Drosophila melanogaster: one gene and its partner. The protein of the gene in region 2 interacts with the protein of the main gene of each other region in a pairwise test. Each region holds a gene or a part of one and is shown on either strand. Other genes may lie near its edges.

Region 1 (7,135 bases), on a different chromosome or scaffold from region 2:
GGACTAAAATAAAATAATAATGTTTCGTCGTGGAAAACTATCCTTTCTAAACACCAAAGATGACCGTGTTAAAATAATAAACGAGCGCATAAACATAACAGAAAGGCATCTAATGGAGATGTGCTCTTCGTTTGCTTTGGTAACGCGGAAAATGGCCAAGTGAGTTTGGTAAATAAATAAATCTGAATGAATAATCATAAGACCTTGCAGATATCGGGACTCCTTTGATGAGTTGGCCAAGAGTGTGAAGAGCTACGCCGACGACGAGGAAATCAACGAGAGTCTCTGTCAGGGACTGAAGAGCTTCACCAACGCGGTTACCATAATGGGTGATTACATGGACATCAATGTACACCGATTGGAACACAAGGTGAATTATCCTTTTTTAAATCTGCATCTTATATCATATTATTGACTTATGTAGATTGTCAACGAGTTGGCGCAATTCGAGCAGCTTTGCAAGTCCACAAGGGACAATCTTCGACTGGCTGTCATAGCGCGGGATAAGGAGGTACTACGTCAGCGCCAGATGCTTGAGCTCAAGTCAAAGTTTTCTGCGAACAATGTGGGTATTAAAACGAACAATTTACTTCTTATATAATTCCCAAAACTTACCGTAGAGTGCCGCCGATTCGGAGCTGTTTAAGGCCAAAATGGAGGTGCAGCGCACAAACAAGGAGATAGACGACATTATTGGCAACTTCGAGCAGCGGAAGTTGCGCGACTTAAAGCAGATAATCAGCGATTTTATACTGATCGCCATGAAACAGCACACCAAGGCATTGGAGATACTCAGCGCAAGCTACTATGATATTGGAACCATTGATGAGCGCGACGATTTCATTGAGTTTCAGAAACTCATGAAGACCAAAGAAGAGCTGGCTTCCAGGAAAACTGCACTCAAAAAGGGACTGCGCTCCCAGTCGATGGATAGCTTGGAGCACGAGCACCTGGTCAGTCCGCTCAAGAGGCGCCCGAAGTTGTCCAGGAGCAATAGGAATCTGACGGGAGCCGGAATCAATCATGGAAGTAAAACAGAACCCGAAGATGAAACCGACGAGCAGGATGAAGAGGAAGATGATGAAGATGAGGTATGATTTGGCATGATTATGGAATGATAGAATAACTCCATTCCTCCCAAGGAAACCGAGCAAAGTGGCGAAGAGGACGAGGAATCTGGAACGGCAACGGATGACGAGAGGGAACCCACGCAGCCGGGCAACCAGGTTCCTCCGCGGGAGAATGTTTTTGGGGCCAAGATCCGATCTGCCAGCAAGGATATAGCCACGCCATCGACCAGTGCCAGTGCCACTTCTGCTCCTTCGAAGCCCAGCAGACAAACGGTCAAACATCCATTCAAGGCGGTGGCCTCCACCCATGTAAGGCTGCAGAAGCAGTTCCACGTGCCCCAGCACTAGCACTCAAATTATGACCAGTAGTAGAGTTCCTAGAGCTCACATCAGTATTGCAGGCACATTCTGGAATCGTAGCAAGAGCTTAAATAAAATTGAATTAGGAACATACTTCTAAGGGTTTATCTTAATTGGTTTTTGTAACCCCGCAGTCTCAGAGCTTCCTTTCATAATTTAATCAGAATGTATTACCACTCTCTATCTCATTGCCTTAAAAAACATGATATGTAGAAGCAACACAAATTGCAATTAATATTCGAAAATCATTCTGGTCCACAAATCAATGTTGATTTTCCTTTTAAAAGTAGGGATTGTTATATAGCACTCCTTGCCATTCAGCGCTGATTTCCATACACTTTTTATTAATGGACACGGGTCACGATTTGCATTATTTGTCCCAGATAAACAATACTAAATATATGCATATCATAACTAATCAAGCGGAAATGACGCGCTTCTCTTCCCCTTTTCGCAATAAACTTTCAGGTGAGGAAACACAAATCGGGAACTGGTCGCCTGGTAACCGTTGTTAAATCGAAGTCCTGAACACCCAAATAGCAGGGAATTTACAATTCTTGAATTTTTAATTTATAAATAGAAACTAAACGGCAATAATTCAAAATTATTGGCCATTGCTCACAAAAGAATTACTTTACTTAAATTATGATGTGCCCCGACCGGGCGAAACTTAAAACTAAGCAATAAATGGATGAGCAAATGTGTTCTTTTCTTCATTTCTTGGGGAGCAGCTGGGTGCGGAGGAGATTAAATGAATGTGAGAACCTGGAATTGTAAACTTGATACGGGTGACTGGGTGCCAGGTGTTCGATGTATGTATCTAATGGTATTGGGATGCACTTTCCGAATGGGCGTGGCCGTGCCAGCGCTACGGATCTCATTTCTCCGGTCCCTGACCCTCGATCCCGGCCTGGTTCATCAGATCCGCAATGCTCTTCTCCAGATCGTCGATGCGGTTGCCCATGTCATCGATGCGCGTTATTATCTGGTCCGACATCGTCTGGAACTTGTCCTGAACGTTCTGCAACAGATTTTGTACCTGATAACAGGAGGCAGGTTTACTGGGTGCTCATTTGGTGTCTCTATTTACTGGGTGGTTCCCGGTTCGGGCATTACTCACGTATATGGTCAGCTCCTGCATGTTTTTGGGGTCCGCATTGCTGTTCAGGGAGTAGTTCTGGTCCAGATCGCTGTCCATCTCGTTGCGCAGATCGGTCATTCTGTGGCTTCTTTGTGGCACTGTATAAAAGTACAAAAATGCTATCACTTCTAGCTCTTTTGCTTCTGTTTGCGGCTGCGGCTGTTTCACTTCTGCAAATTAATTTCTTTATCAAGCATAGGGGCGGACTTTGGTTCGATAGTCCTTTCGATAATCCTGGTGGTGGCAAAGTAGCTAGCTTCAAGTTTTATTTTCCAGTCATATTTAATGTCAATTTATTATTTTAATTTATTTTAATCTTTAAATAATTCAAATAAATATTAAGAACCATTTTTATTCAACATCATTTTATGGGATGTATTATTACAGAGAATATACCCAAATTGTAAATTTTGAAACTAAATTAAACTTAAATATAATTCTGTAATGTTTATTTCGTATTTCATATAAAAAACAACAAATTTGTGTATATTTTTAGTTTTAAAGCTTAATAGCTAGTAGCTTACGTTTTTCAACACTGCCCCACGTGTATTCTTTTAACTCATCCAAATGGAAGTGGACGAGGAAAAGCCGCAGGTTCTTAAAGAAAAACACATTATAAATAAACCACATTAAGCTAAGCATTACGATTGCAGATTATTGCTGAAAATCCCAACGAAAACGTGATACGCGAACGTAATGCGGAGATCGTTTCCGGCGGCAATGTGTTCTACAATCCTGTCCAGGAATTCAATCGAGATCTGAGCATTGCTGCTCTGAATGTTTATCGACAGAGATTGACCAAGGAGCGGAGCGAAAAGGCGCTCAAAAAGCAGCGGAAGAAGGTCAAGGAACAGGAGGATGAGAAGACCACTCCCGTTCCCGAGGATCCACCTGTTTATGAGGCCGGTACTCGATATGAGGATGGACTTCGGATCCTGGAGGCACTGGCAGCCACCGGTTTGCGTAGCATCCGTTACGCGCAGGAAATCGCCGGTGTACGCCAGATCGTGGCCAACGATCTTTCCCGCCAGGCAGTGGCCTCGATCAACACAAACATCCGGCACAACAAGGTGGAGGAGCTGATCGAGCCCAGTCACTCCGATGCAATGTAGGTTTATAATTAAGCTATTGGCACACGGTATAAAATGGGGCATTCCAATACATCGTACAGGACCCTCATGTATCTTTCGACGCAACCCGAGAAGCGTTTTGATGCAGTTGACTTGGATCCGTACGGATGTCCCAATCGCTTTTTGGATGGCGCTATGCAGTGCCTGGTGGACGGCGGCCTGCTGCTGGTGACAGCCACCGACATGGCCGTGCTGGCCGGAAATGCTCCGGAAGCTTGCTATGTAAAATACGGATCGGTTCCGCTGCGGATGAAGTGCTGTCACGAGATGGCATTGCGCATTTTGCTGCACTGCATCGAGAGCCACGCGAACAGGTACGGCAAGTACATCGAACCACTACTGAGCATATCAGCGGACTTTTACATCCGGATATTTGTGCGTGTGTACGTCGGCCAGGCCCAATGCAAGCTGTCGATGAGCAAGCAGTCTTGGATATACCAATGCACCGGATGTGAGACCTTCACGCTGCAGCCCTTGGGCATAACCAAGCCAAATCCCACGGCTGGTAATCCCCAGCAGCTGAAGTTCGGAATTCCCACTGGTCCGGCGGTCAACTCGCAGTGCGAACATTGCGGTCACAGGCATCATCTGGGTGGACCCATCTGGTCGGCACCGATTCATAACCCCGAATTTGTGCAGGATCTTTTAACGGCGGTCCAGGAGACCACCTTGCAATCGCTGGGAACCCAGAGACGAATCGTTGGAGTTCTTTCCATGGTCCAAGAGGAGCTGCAGGATGTTCCCCTTTACTACACGCCGGACAAACTGTGCTGTGTGCTCAAGCTAGAAATCGTGCCCATGCTAAAGTTCCGGTCTGCTATTCTCCACGCTGGCTATCGAGTCTCATACTCGCATGCCTCGAAGAATTCGTTGAAAACCAATGCTCCACCAGCGGTGCTATGGGACATTCTGCGCAGCTGGAGCAAGCGACATCCGGTAAATCCCGAAAGGATGATTCCTGGATCTCCACTGGCGGCCATACTTTCGAAAGAATGCACTGCTGTCTACGAGTTCGATGAACTCCATCCGGAGGCGAACCCGAAGAGTCGCAAATCGGCATTATCGCGCTTCCAAGAGAATCCGACTCCACATTGGGGACCTGGAACCAGAGCCACTATTATGTAAGCTAAGTAATCGAGCCACCCACTTTCGCATACTAAATTCCCATCCAATTTCAGGATTGGTGACAACAAACTACCCAAGAGCTATCGTAACCAGAACAAGAAACAGCGTCACAAAGCGTCGGAGCAACAGGCGGAGGATGACCAACAGGACACTCCACAAGCAGTGGATGAGTATGATGGAGATGTGGAGCACCTGCCCAAGCAGCCCAAGCTGGAGGCGACTGCGTGACGACTGCTTCTGTGTCCCAAATTTATTTCCAATAATGTTTGTAAAACCCAAAACGCAAAATGGTATTCTTTCTGGGAAAGCAAACACAGATTTGTGGAACTAATAGCGGAAGAAGTTGCCGTCGGAGGTCTGGCGCGAGAATCCATTGTTCACCAGCTGGTTGTGGACACCGCTGCAAATGAGCTTTACGCTGTGCGGATGAATCTTTTCTTTACAACCGCCTGCAACAATATGATTAGATTCGAAGTGGGTGTTACTTAAAATGCGTCGAGAACTTTAGGTTTGTACCAATTTTGTGATCTTACCTATGCGAAGTGGATGACCCAATACGTCCTCCTGCTTGCGCCGAATGAAGCGCGTGTTGCGCAACACCCGAAATGATTTGAGTTGGGAACCAATTTCCTTGGCCGCCCCAGGAGCTGACCAGCTACTTATGGCGCGGCACGTCTCCCTCTGCATCACGTAGTCCACCTTGTCCGGAAATGCTTCGCGGGTGTGATCGTAGCGCGACTGCAGCGAAAAGTCCAGCGTATCCTTCGGGATGTTCGGATTGGCACGGTACCGCTTGCTCGAGCGCACCGAGTTCATCGTTTGATGATAGAAGAGCCGCTGATACGGCTCCAGATGGCCATGCCAGGTGCCCGGTTTCAGATGGGCCTCCGGCAGCGGGGGCTCTGGAAAAGAGCACACATAGGTGCCCTCCGTATGCAGTTCCGGCTGCCTGAGAGCACACAATAGTCATCTTGAGCCAAGTCGGGCATAACTAAAGCTTACCATGATACATTCTTGATCTGCACAGTATCGTACTGAATCATCTTTGCAGGAGAAACCAATATAATTTAGATGAAAGTGTAAAAGGGTTTCTGAATCGTATTCAGAAGGACTTGGGTATATGTGATTTTGCCTTCGGTTTCCCGGCAACTGCTTTGTCAATATACCCCCCGACTACCATGTTTCTCGGGAGTCAATAGAAACCGAAACATAATGGATGGATGTTCTGGGCATCCGAAGATACTAGATCTTTCTTTACAATATTCCAAGATACATATATGTTTTAAAACCCCATTTCAACCAATTAATAACATATGTAGATGGTTAAGTTATAATCAAGTAAAACTTTATTGAAGCGTTTAATTAGGCTGCAAATTCAAAGGGTTAGCTCTCTCACTTACCGAATGTACCAGATCGTTAGGGAATCCCACATTTCGGTCGAGTCAGTATGCAATCCAGACTCTAGCATCCATCGCATCGTCGATGTGGCCTCTGCTGCAAATGATGACTTTTCGCCTAAACTCAAAAGGGACGCCCACCAAGATACAGGAAAACACCAACAACGCCAACCAGCAACAAATCGCGAGTTGAGACGAGACGAGACGAGGCGAGAGAAGAAGTGACGGGAAACGGGAAACTATGAGTGAATCTGGAGCAGCTTTGGCAGCGCCAGCGTCTAACAGGAAACAGGAAGCTGCTACGGCTACGGCAACTGCAACTGCAGCATCAGCGGCACCAGCAACAGCATCATGCGACAGCAGCAGCATCAGCATCAGCATCTGCAGCAGCAGCAGCAGTAGCAACAATCAGGAGCCACGCGGTGTCCGCCTACGTGAGGAAGGAGTTGTAGCTTAGATGATGCGCTGCTGCTGATCCTTAATCGCGAGCGATTTAACCACAATCTTATCTGAACCGCAACAACTGCCACACACCATTCGCCTGCATATATATAATAAACGTGTGGGAGAAGCTTGTTAATAAGTTTGTCGTTAAAAGGTACAAAGAACGGAAACGAGCAACACAAACGCAATCGAATCGAATCGCAACGAAACAAACAGAATCCTAGAGTATTCCTATCACTCATCCACCTCTCATTCTCCTCCTGTCCTGTCTGTCATTTGATATTTAGGTATTGAATTGAAGCCGTGTTAATTTGAGTTTATTTTGTTCTGTTTCTGATTACGTTCAAGGATTTCTACTACGCTCTAGTATATGAAAGCCTATGTGCAAGAACCGACATCGAGGGATCGCCCAGGTTGCGGGGATCTCACTCGGAACATAATCATGCCTGATCTCTACTTATTTACTCT
Region 2 (7,070 bases):
CCTCGGCGACCAGGACTTCTTCACCCTGCTGGGATACGAGTACCCGAACTTAATCTACAGACTGGACTGCATTTGGAACCGCCAGCTGTGCACCTGGTGGAAGGATCACGGATACTCACAGATATTCGACGCTTATTTCCGGTGCGAGGGCAATATTAAAATGTACCATGGCAACTGTAATACGCGAATTCCAGAATAAATAAAATTGTTATAGGAATATTAAATTAATTAAATGCAGGGTATTTTTATTTGGTATAACTATTGTAATGGAACGTTATGTAATATACGGTGAATTTAATCTTAGTTTATAGACCATTATAAATGGTGATATATAAAAATGAAATTTAAAGATAAAAGACAGCCCACACCTATCACCATTTAAAATATCAAAACGATGTAAGAATGTTATCGATAGGCGAGAAGCAACAGAGTGGGAATATGCCGCACAGGGTGTTTCGTGTGAATGATTTCGCCTCTTGTTTCTTATCTTTAACCTTCATTTCTGGCTCCGTTTGGCTATGAATTAGGAGCAGTCCCGAATAATCAGTCGAGCATACGTAGTTAACGATGGCGCCGAATGCAGCAGTACCAGTGGAGCGATATGAGCCTGAGAACATCGGGATCAACGCCATTCTCCTGGGGCCGCCGGGTTCCGGCAAAGGAACGCAGGTGGGTCAAAATTACATAATGATGTGTTTTTTGTGACACGGACGCCATGTAGTCTATAAATAAATACAACGTGTTCAAGTGCGCGGTTTTTGTTTGCAAATAATCGGTGAAGCTCGTTAATTCTCTTGGAAGAGAATTAAAACTGGTGAAGTTATATAAGACGATGTGTACATGGAAATGTATATGTATGTATCTACGTGCCAAGTATGTACATATGCGTCAAGCAGTGTCTTTCTCTTGACCCTGAATCAAATCAAAGCCTTGGCGAGATGTGGCGAATTAAGTGGAACACCTTTAGGCAATCGATTGGGTATTATGCAGACCATCTATTAAAAGGCTACCAGAACATTCCTGGCCTCAAGAAATGCATCTTATCTAGCCGATTGGTTACCTTGCTTACCTTCCGATATGGTGCTAAATTGATTAATTGATTAGCTCTAACTGAAACTTATCAATGTTTTTAATTATGCCCATTTCAGGCTCCCCTGCTGAAGGAGAAGTTCTGCGTGTGCCACCTGTCGACCGGCGACATGCTGCGGGCGGAGATTTCATCCGGTTCGAAGCTGGGAGCCGAGTTGAAGAAGGTCATGGATGCCGGCAAACTGGTCTCCGACGACCTGGTCGTGGACATGATCGACTCCAACCTGGACAAGCCCGAGTGCAAGAATGGATTCCTCCTGGACGGATTCCCCAGGACTGTCGTTCAAGCTGAGAAGGTAGCCACACGTGTGAAGCACTTTGGACTTTAGGTTATAATCCGTTCGAAACGCACTTTGCAGCTCGACACATTGCTGGACAAGAGGAAAACCAACTTGGATGCTGTCATCGAGTTTGCCATCGACGACAGTCTGTTGGTGAGGCGCATCACTGGCCGCTTGATCCACCAGGCCAGCGGGCGTTCGTATCACGAAGAGTTTGCCCCTCCAAAGAAGCCAATGACGGACGATGTAAGTATCTCTATAGGACGCTATCCAAGAACTCTAAATGAAAGCAGACCTTGTGTACTTGCAGGTCACTGGAGAGCCCCTAATCCGTCGCAGCGATGACAACGCCGAGGCTCTGAAGAAGCGACTGGAAGCATATCACAAGCAGACAAAGCCGCTGGTCGACTACTACGGCCTGAGGGGTCTGCACTTCAAGGTGGACGCCGCCAAGAAGTCCAGCGACGTCTTCTCCACCATCGACTCTATATTCCAACGCAAGCGTCCTGCCCAGATCCAGTTATGATTTGTTCCTGCGCAATGATCAACTACTGATAACTGCCTCCTGACAATTTATTTCGAGACACACACAACGTTTAAGCCTAAAGTTATAGTTGCATCCGGAAATCCTGAACAAACGAAATTACCTTTGCAGGTCGACTACTTTCCTTGTACAGATTTCTAAAGTGTATGTGTTTGTTACTTTTTACATTTCACTATTTGTAACTACAATACAATTTAATAAAAAAATCGAAGGAAACAAGTACATTTTACGAGACATGACTGCTTTAAACTGGGCTGCGTTCGAATGAGGGATGGACGACGCCAAGTTCAAACTTCCACACAATTGTTTTCCGGAAAGCTTCTGGAATATGATGCGGCTGACTCAGTTTCGAATCGAGGTTTTTAGCGTTTGATGGATAGCTACTAATTGTTCCGAGAACTATTTATTATTGCAATCAACTTTAAAGCGACTATTAAAGGGTCATGTTGCACGGGTCTCAAGTGTAACAAATGAGAAATTGCTAATGGAAATCGCTAATGAGATCGTTAAATCTGGTAAACAAATAACATATCGCCAAGTTAGCCCGTCCATCGTGGCTGCGAATCTCTCGCAGAGCGACTTTCGATCGCCGTTTAGTACTCAGACGTCACCTGCCTAATGTTAATGTCAATTTAAGTGTGTATAACTATCGCACATATATTATATAAATTTATAACGACGATTGACTAATCACTGGGTTGACTTTTCAGCAATAGCGATTTTCGCTTCAAAGTCTAAAGTGTGTGCAATCCCGTATGGATACGAGCCGAGCTCGAACACAGGCTCACAGCGCGCGGTTTGTGTTGTGTATTACACTTGAAGTTCAATCCCAGGTAAAAAGTGGGCCCAGGTATAAAAGCCCACTTCATAGAAACATTTCTCAGTTAGTTCCAGCAGCTGAATTGCTTCACATCTATTCGCTCCGAGTCGCCCCACAAGTCGAGCCCCATTGTAAGACCACCGCACCGTTTATAGTTTTTGGAGCCGATCGGCTCGGCTGGTCGACTGGTGGCTGGTAGTAGTCCACACACTCATGGACGCAGCCAGACGGGCAACCAGTTTCATTGTGTATAAACAGTGACATCTTTTCAGACAGCGAATGTGTTTCAGATACGCATACAAAGTGGCCTGCCTGGCTGTGCATTAATTTGCATACAAATCCCATAAGTCCACAGATACATTTTGCGAATGCAGTCGCGCTCGATGGCTAGTAAAAATATTTTTCCATTGCCCAGTAAAATCCCCTGCGCACAAAACTGGTTGCCCGACCAACAGACCCACTAAGCCACAAAAGTGCTGATTAATCGTACAAACATACTTACCCCAATTCGCCCGCAGAAAACTCCAAGATGAAGATGATACTTGCGCTTGTCGTCCTTGGACTGGTGCTGGTCGCCGCCGAGGATAAGTACACCACCAAGTACGACAACATCGACGTCGACGAGATCCTGAAGTCGGACCGCCTCTTCGGAAACTACTTCAAGTGCCTGGTGGACAACGGAAAGTGCACCCCGGAGGGCCGGGAGCTCAAGAAGTCCCTGCCGGACGCCCTGAAGACGGAGTGCAGCAAGTGCAGCGAGAAGCAGCGCCAGAACACCGACAAGGTCATTCGCTACATCATCGAAAACAAGCCCGAGGAGTGGAAGCAGCTGCAGGCCAAGTACGATCCCGATGAGATCTACATCAAGCGCTACCGCGCCACCGCCGAGGCCTCGGGAATCAAGGTGTAAGGCGGATCCCGGTTCCGGAAACTCTTGGTTATATGCACTGTTAATTAGGTCTACGCTTATATCTGATCATCAAAATTATTTCTACGATCGTGCTCGGAATAAAGAGATTTGTTTTTTTACCATACACCTGCCGAGTATTATATCGTTATCGAAGGGGGATTTGCCAGGCTTCAGAGAGTATATAAATTAACTATGACAAATGTAGCACTTAAGTCTAGCCTCCTGCTACTAGAACGATGATTAATCTAAGCACAATTAAGGTCTTAGAAAAAACATTCACAAGATTACGACTAGACCCTAATAAGCGGCTTATATATGGCGGGCGATTTGCATTAACATTGACAATAAAGGCAGCTACGGTTAGTTGGCAAAAACATCGCGTGCTTGTCTTGGTTCTGAGCTATTACTTATATTATTCTTAAAAGGGGCAATGAATCGAATCCGATGGCCGCAAGTAACTCAGCCGTGAAAACCTTCCTTCAAAGAACAAACAAACAATGTACAGCGAATTATTAATGTCACGGCAATTCACATTGCGAATCAAAAGATATTAAATATTAAATCAGTATTTTAATTACTTATAAATGTACAAAGCTTAGTATAAGGTTGTGGGCAGCGTTTACGTTAATGTTTCACCCTGGGCGACGCACGCCTCCAGATAGTCTATGCGCCGCTCCAGGATCGTTAGTTTTTCGTTCAGCACCGCCAGACGGGAGCGACAGGACATATCTGAAAGGATATGATAGCACACGATGATACAGTTTATAATGCCAACAGTGTACATAAACCCTATTAAGGATATGGGATATTTTAGCAACCCAACTACCTCGCACTCTTTGGCTTATCATTTATCACAGTATTTAGCGTATCTTAAATTATGCATAGAGCAACCGAAAAAGCTTATCCAATTCATTTAGGTGACTAATTCGGATAGAGATAAAGCCGAATTTTCGTTTTGAGCCCTCCGATGATGTTACATACATACATTTCCATATGTATGTAGATACATATATTGCTATACATATATGCCACCACGCACAAACCACTGTTTGTTTCTATAGACTTAAGACTTGAGTAAATAAAGTCATTGTCACTGATGAATATTTGTTAGTAATATTACTTATGCGTTCACCCACACCTACAAAGGAAGTGATAATAAACACGCGCACACACACATGCGTCAGAGGGAAGTGGGTGCTTCGTATGCAGGTTGCTTACCGAAAGAGTTCAGAAAGTCGGTGATTCTCTTTATGCTGGCAGTTATCACTTCGATATACTCCCTGTTCGCCCAGTCCTGGTGGATCTGCTTTTGGATCGCCTCTCTGTGAGCCCCACTCATCTTTATTTATTCCTATTGTTTCTGTTCGTTTTAATTGTGTTTATCTAGAGATGAGAGATGGGTTGGGCCGGAACAATTATTGTCAAAAATTTGGAACTATCGATAGGCATACAATTACCGTGTTCACCGTGATTCATTGAGATCAAATTTTTACTCCAACAAGAAATTTTAATGGTGTTTTACAACACTCCCTAAGCACTACTATTTAAAAATTACGCGGGAAAGTGCGATGAAAGAAATAACTTAATATTTTTGTCTGCCAACTATAGCGTGTAAATATGAATAATAAAATAAAGGTAAATAATAAAAGTATTGGGGTAGACACAGCCGAATATATAAAGAAACTTATCGCCGCAATATACAATTGTATATCGCAATATACATAGATATATTCGAATTTGCGTTTGCTATATTTTATATTAACCGTGGGTTAGTTTTCGATGTTTTATTGTTTTAAATGATATTTATTAAGGAATTACTGCAAACCAGCAAAGTATGTACCCATTTTGCGGTCCGATTCCGCGTGTTCCAATCGGAATGAGCCGAGCGAAACGATAGCTATTGATGCCACTCACGCACACGCACACATAGATAAACTAGGTGGCCCCGTAAACTACAGTGTTTTTCATTTGGTAAACAAAAAATGGACTTTATCGACGACTTCATCGAAGAATACAAAAGCAATCCGTGCTTGTGGAAGGCGGACTCGGCGGACTTCAGGAACCGCAGCCGCCGGCAGGAGGCCTACGCGAAGCTCATCGAGGTGGCCACCAAGCACGGGGAGATGTACAATGTGGAGCGAACAAAGCAAAAGATAAACAATCTGCGCTGTGCATTTCGTCATCAGCTGAGGAAATACAACGAGGTCAAGAAAAAGGGCGAGAAGTACGAGCCCTACTGCCCCAAGCGCCGCTACTTCGAGTCCCTGATGTTCCTTAAGGACGAGGAGATCCCCGCCGACAAGAAGTTCAAGCGCGAGCAGTCGGTCTGCCTGGACAACTCCATGCAGCTAGGGGCGCCAGAGAACGGCGACGAGTATTCCGACGCCGAGAGCCTGCACAAGCCCCCAAAGCCGACGGCAGACTCGATCAAGATGTCACCCAACAACAGCGCCAACGAATTCTGTGCCAACATCTTCGAGGAGGCCGCCGCCGCCGCTGCCGCTGACCCCGTTATCAGTATTAAAACAGTCAACAACGCCAACAGCCATGCCAGTGGCGCTACTATCAAGGAGGTCGAAATCGTGGTGCCTGCTAACAACAGGCTGCTGTCCGCCCGCAGAAAATCCGTGCCCGACTCCATAAAGTCTCCGCCTGGCGACTCCGAATCGCCGCAGTGCAAGCGCATCGTCACCCAGAACCAAACGAAACTGATCAGTAATCAGAGCCCGAGCCAGAAAGCCAATCACATAACACGGAAAAGGTCCTCCTCGGTCTCTTCGCAGATTTCGGAGGACAACGAGCCGCCTCCAGGTAAATTCCGAGCGGACATTTCCACCATTGACTTTGAGCGCCTCTTTTCGCTGGCCCTAAAGAGTGCGGACAGCCAGCTGGACGACCACTTCTCCAACTTCGGGAAAATTATCGCACACAAGCTTCGCTCCATGGACGGAACACAGGCTATCTACGCGGAAAAGATCATCGCCGATGTGCTGTACCAGGGCCAGATGAAAATGCTGTCCTCGCTGAGTATACACCAGTTTATGGGCGTGGACAATGCAACAGTTTACCTAGAGAGCCACAGTAAATGATGGCCTGGCCCCTTTAAAGACGTACTTTTAGAGTTTATGTAATAATAAGATGTAAAGAGACAGTCATGTGTACAAAGCCATGTTTTATTTAAAGGAGGGATTCCTTTCAGCCGCCTAATCCTTAGAAAATCCCCTAAGCTACGAAACCAAATGCTAGGAATGATGTCGAGACTAGTTTATTATATTCGATGCATGAGAATAACATTTAAATGCCATTTAGGCACTGTCGTACTTCCTTAGAAGCATGGCCCATACGTCCGGGTATCTAGTTTGCAGAAATGTGGTCAGCTTTTGCGCTTTTTGAGCCTGTTGTGGGGAGCAGTTCCTGCATTTCCTG

What was found.
Region 1: the proteins of HSPC300 (region 2) and CG5446 interact in a two-hybrid assay, tested with the Drosophila melanogaster proteins (one large-scale study listed by BioGRID).

Annotation. Positions count from the first base shown.
Region 1 is NT_033779.5:12,424,919-12,432,053, forward strand, and holds CG5446 (uncharacterized protein), read right to left. Parts: upstream 2,792-7,135; 5' UTR 2,650-2,791; coding exon 2,551-2,649; intron 2,470-2,550; coding exon 2,308-2,469; 3' UTR 1,713-2,307; downstream 1-1,712. Other genes in the region: Fam92, read left to right, coding at 20-159, 211-370, 425-565, 621-1,091, 1,143-1,418; Trm1 (tRNA methyltransferase 1), read left to right, coding at 3,139-3,165, 3,225-3,679, 3,743-4,822, 4,880-5,054; CG5435 (uncharacterized protein), read right to left, coding at 5,154-5,275, 5,360-5,775, 5,829-5,869.
Region 2 is NT_033778.4:24,023,752-24,030,821, forward strand, and holds HSPC300 (haematopoietic stem/progenitor cell protein 300), read right to left. Parts: upstream 5,039-7,070; 5' UTR 4,984-5,038; coding exon 4,863-4,983; intron 4,374-4,862; coding exon 4,264-4,373; 3' UTR 3,966-4,263; downstream 1-3,965. Other genes in the region: Xxylt (xyloside xylosyltransferase), read left to right, coding at 1-199; Ak2 (adenylate kinase 2), read left to right, coding at 568-669, 1,149-1,385, 1,449-1,616, 1,681-1,896; EbpIII (ejaculatory bulb protein III), read left to right, coding at 3,264-3,644; CG3163 (uncharacterized protein), read left to right, coding at 5,627-6,733; CG30172 (uncharacterized protein), read right to left, coding at 6,950-7,070.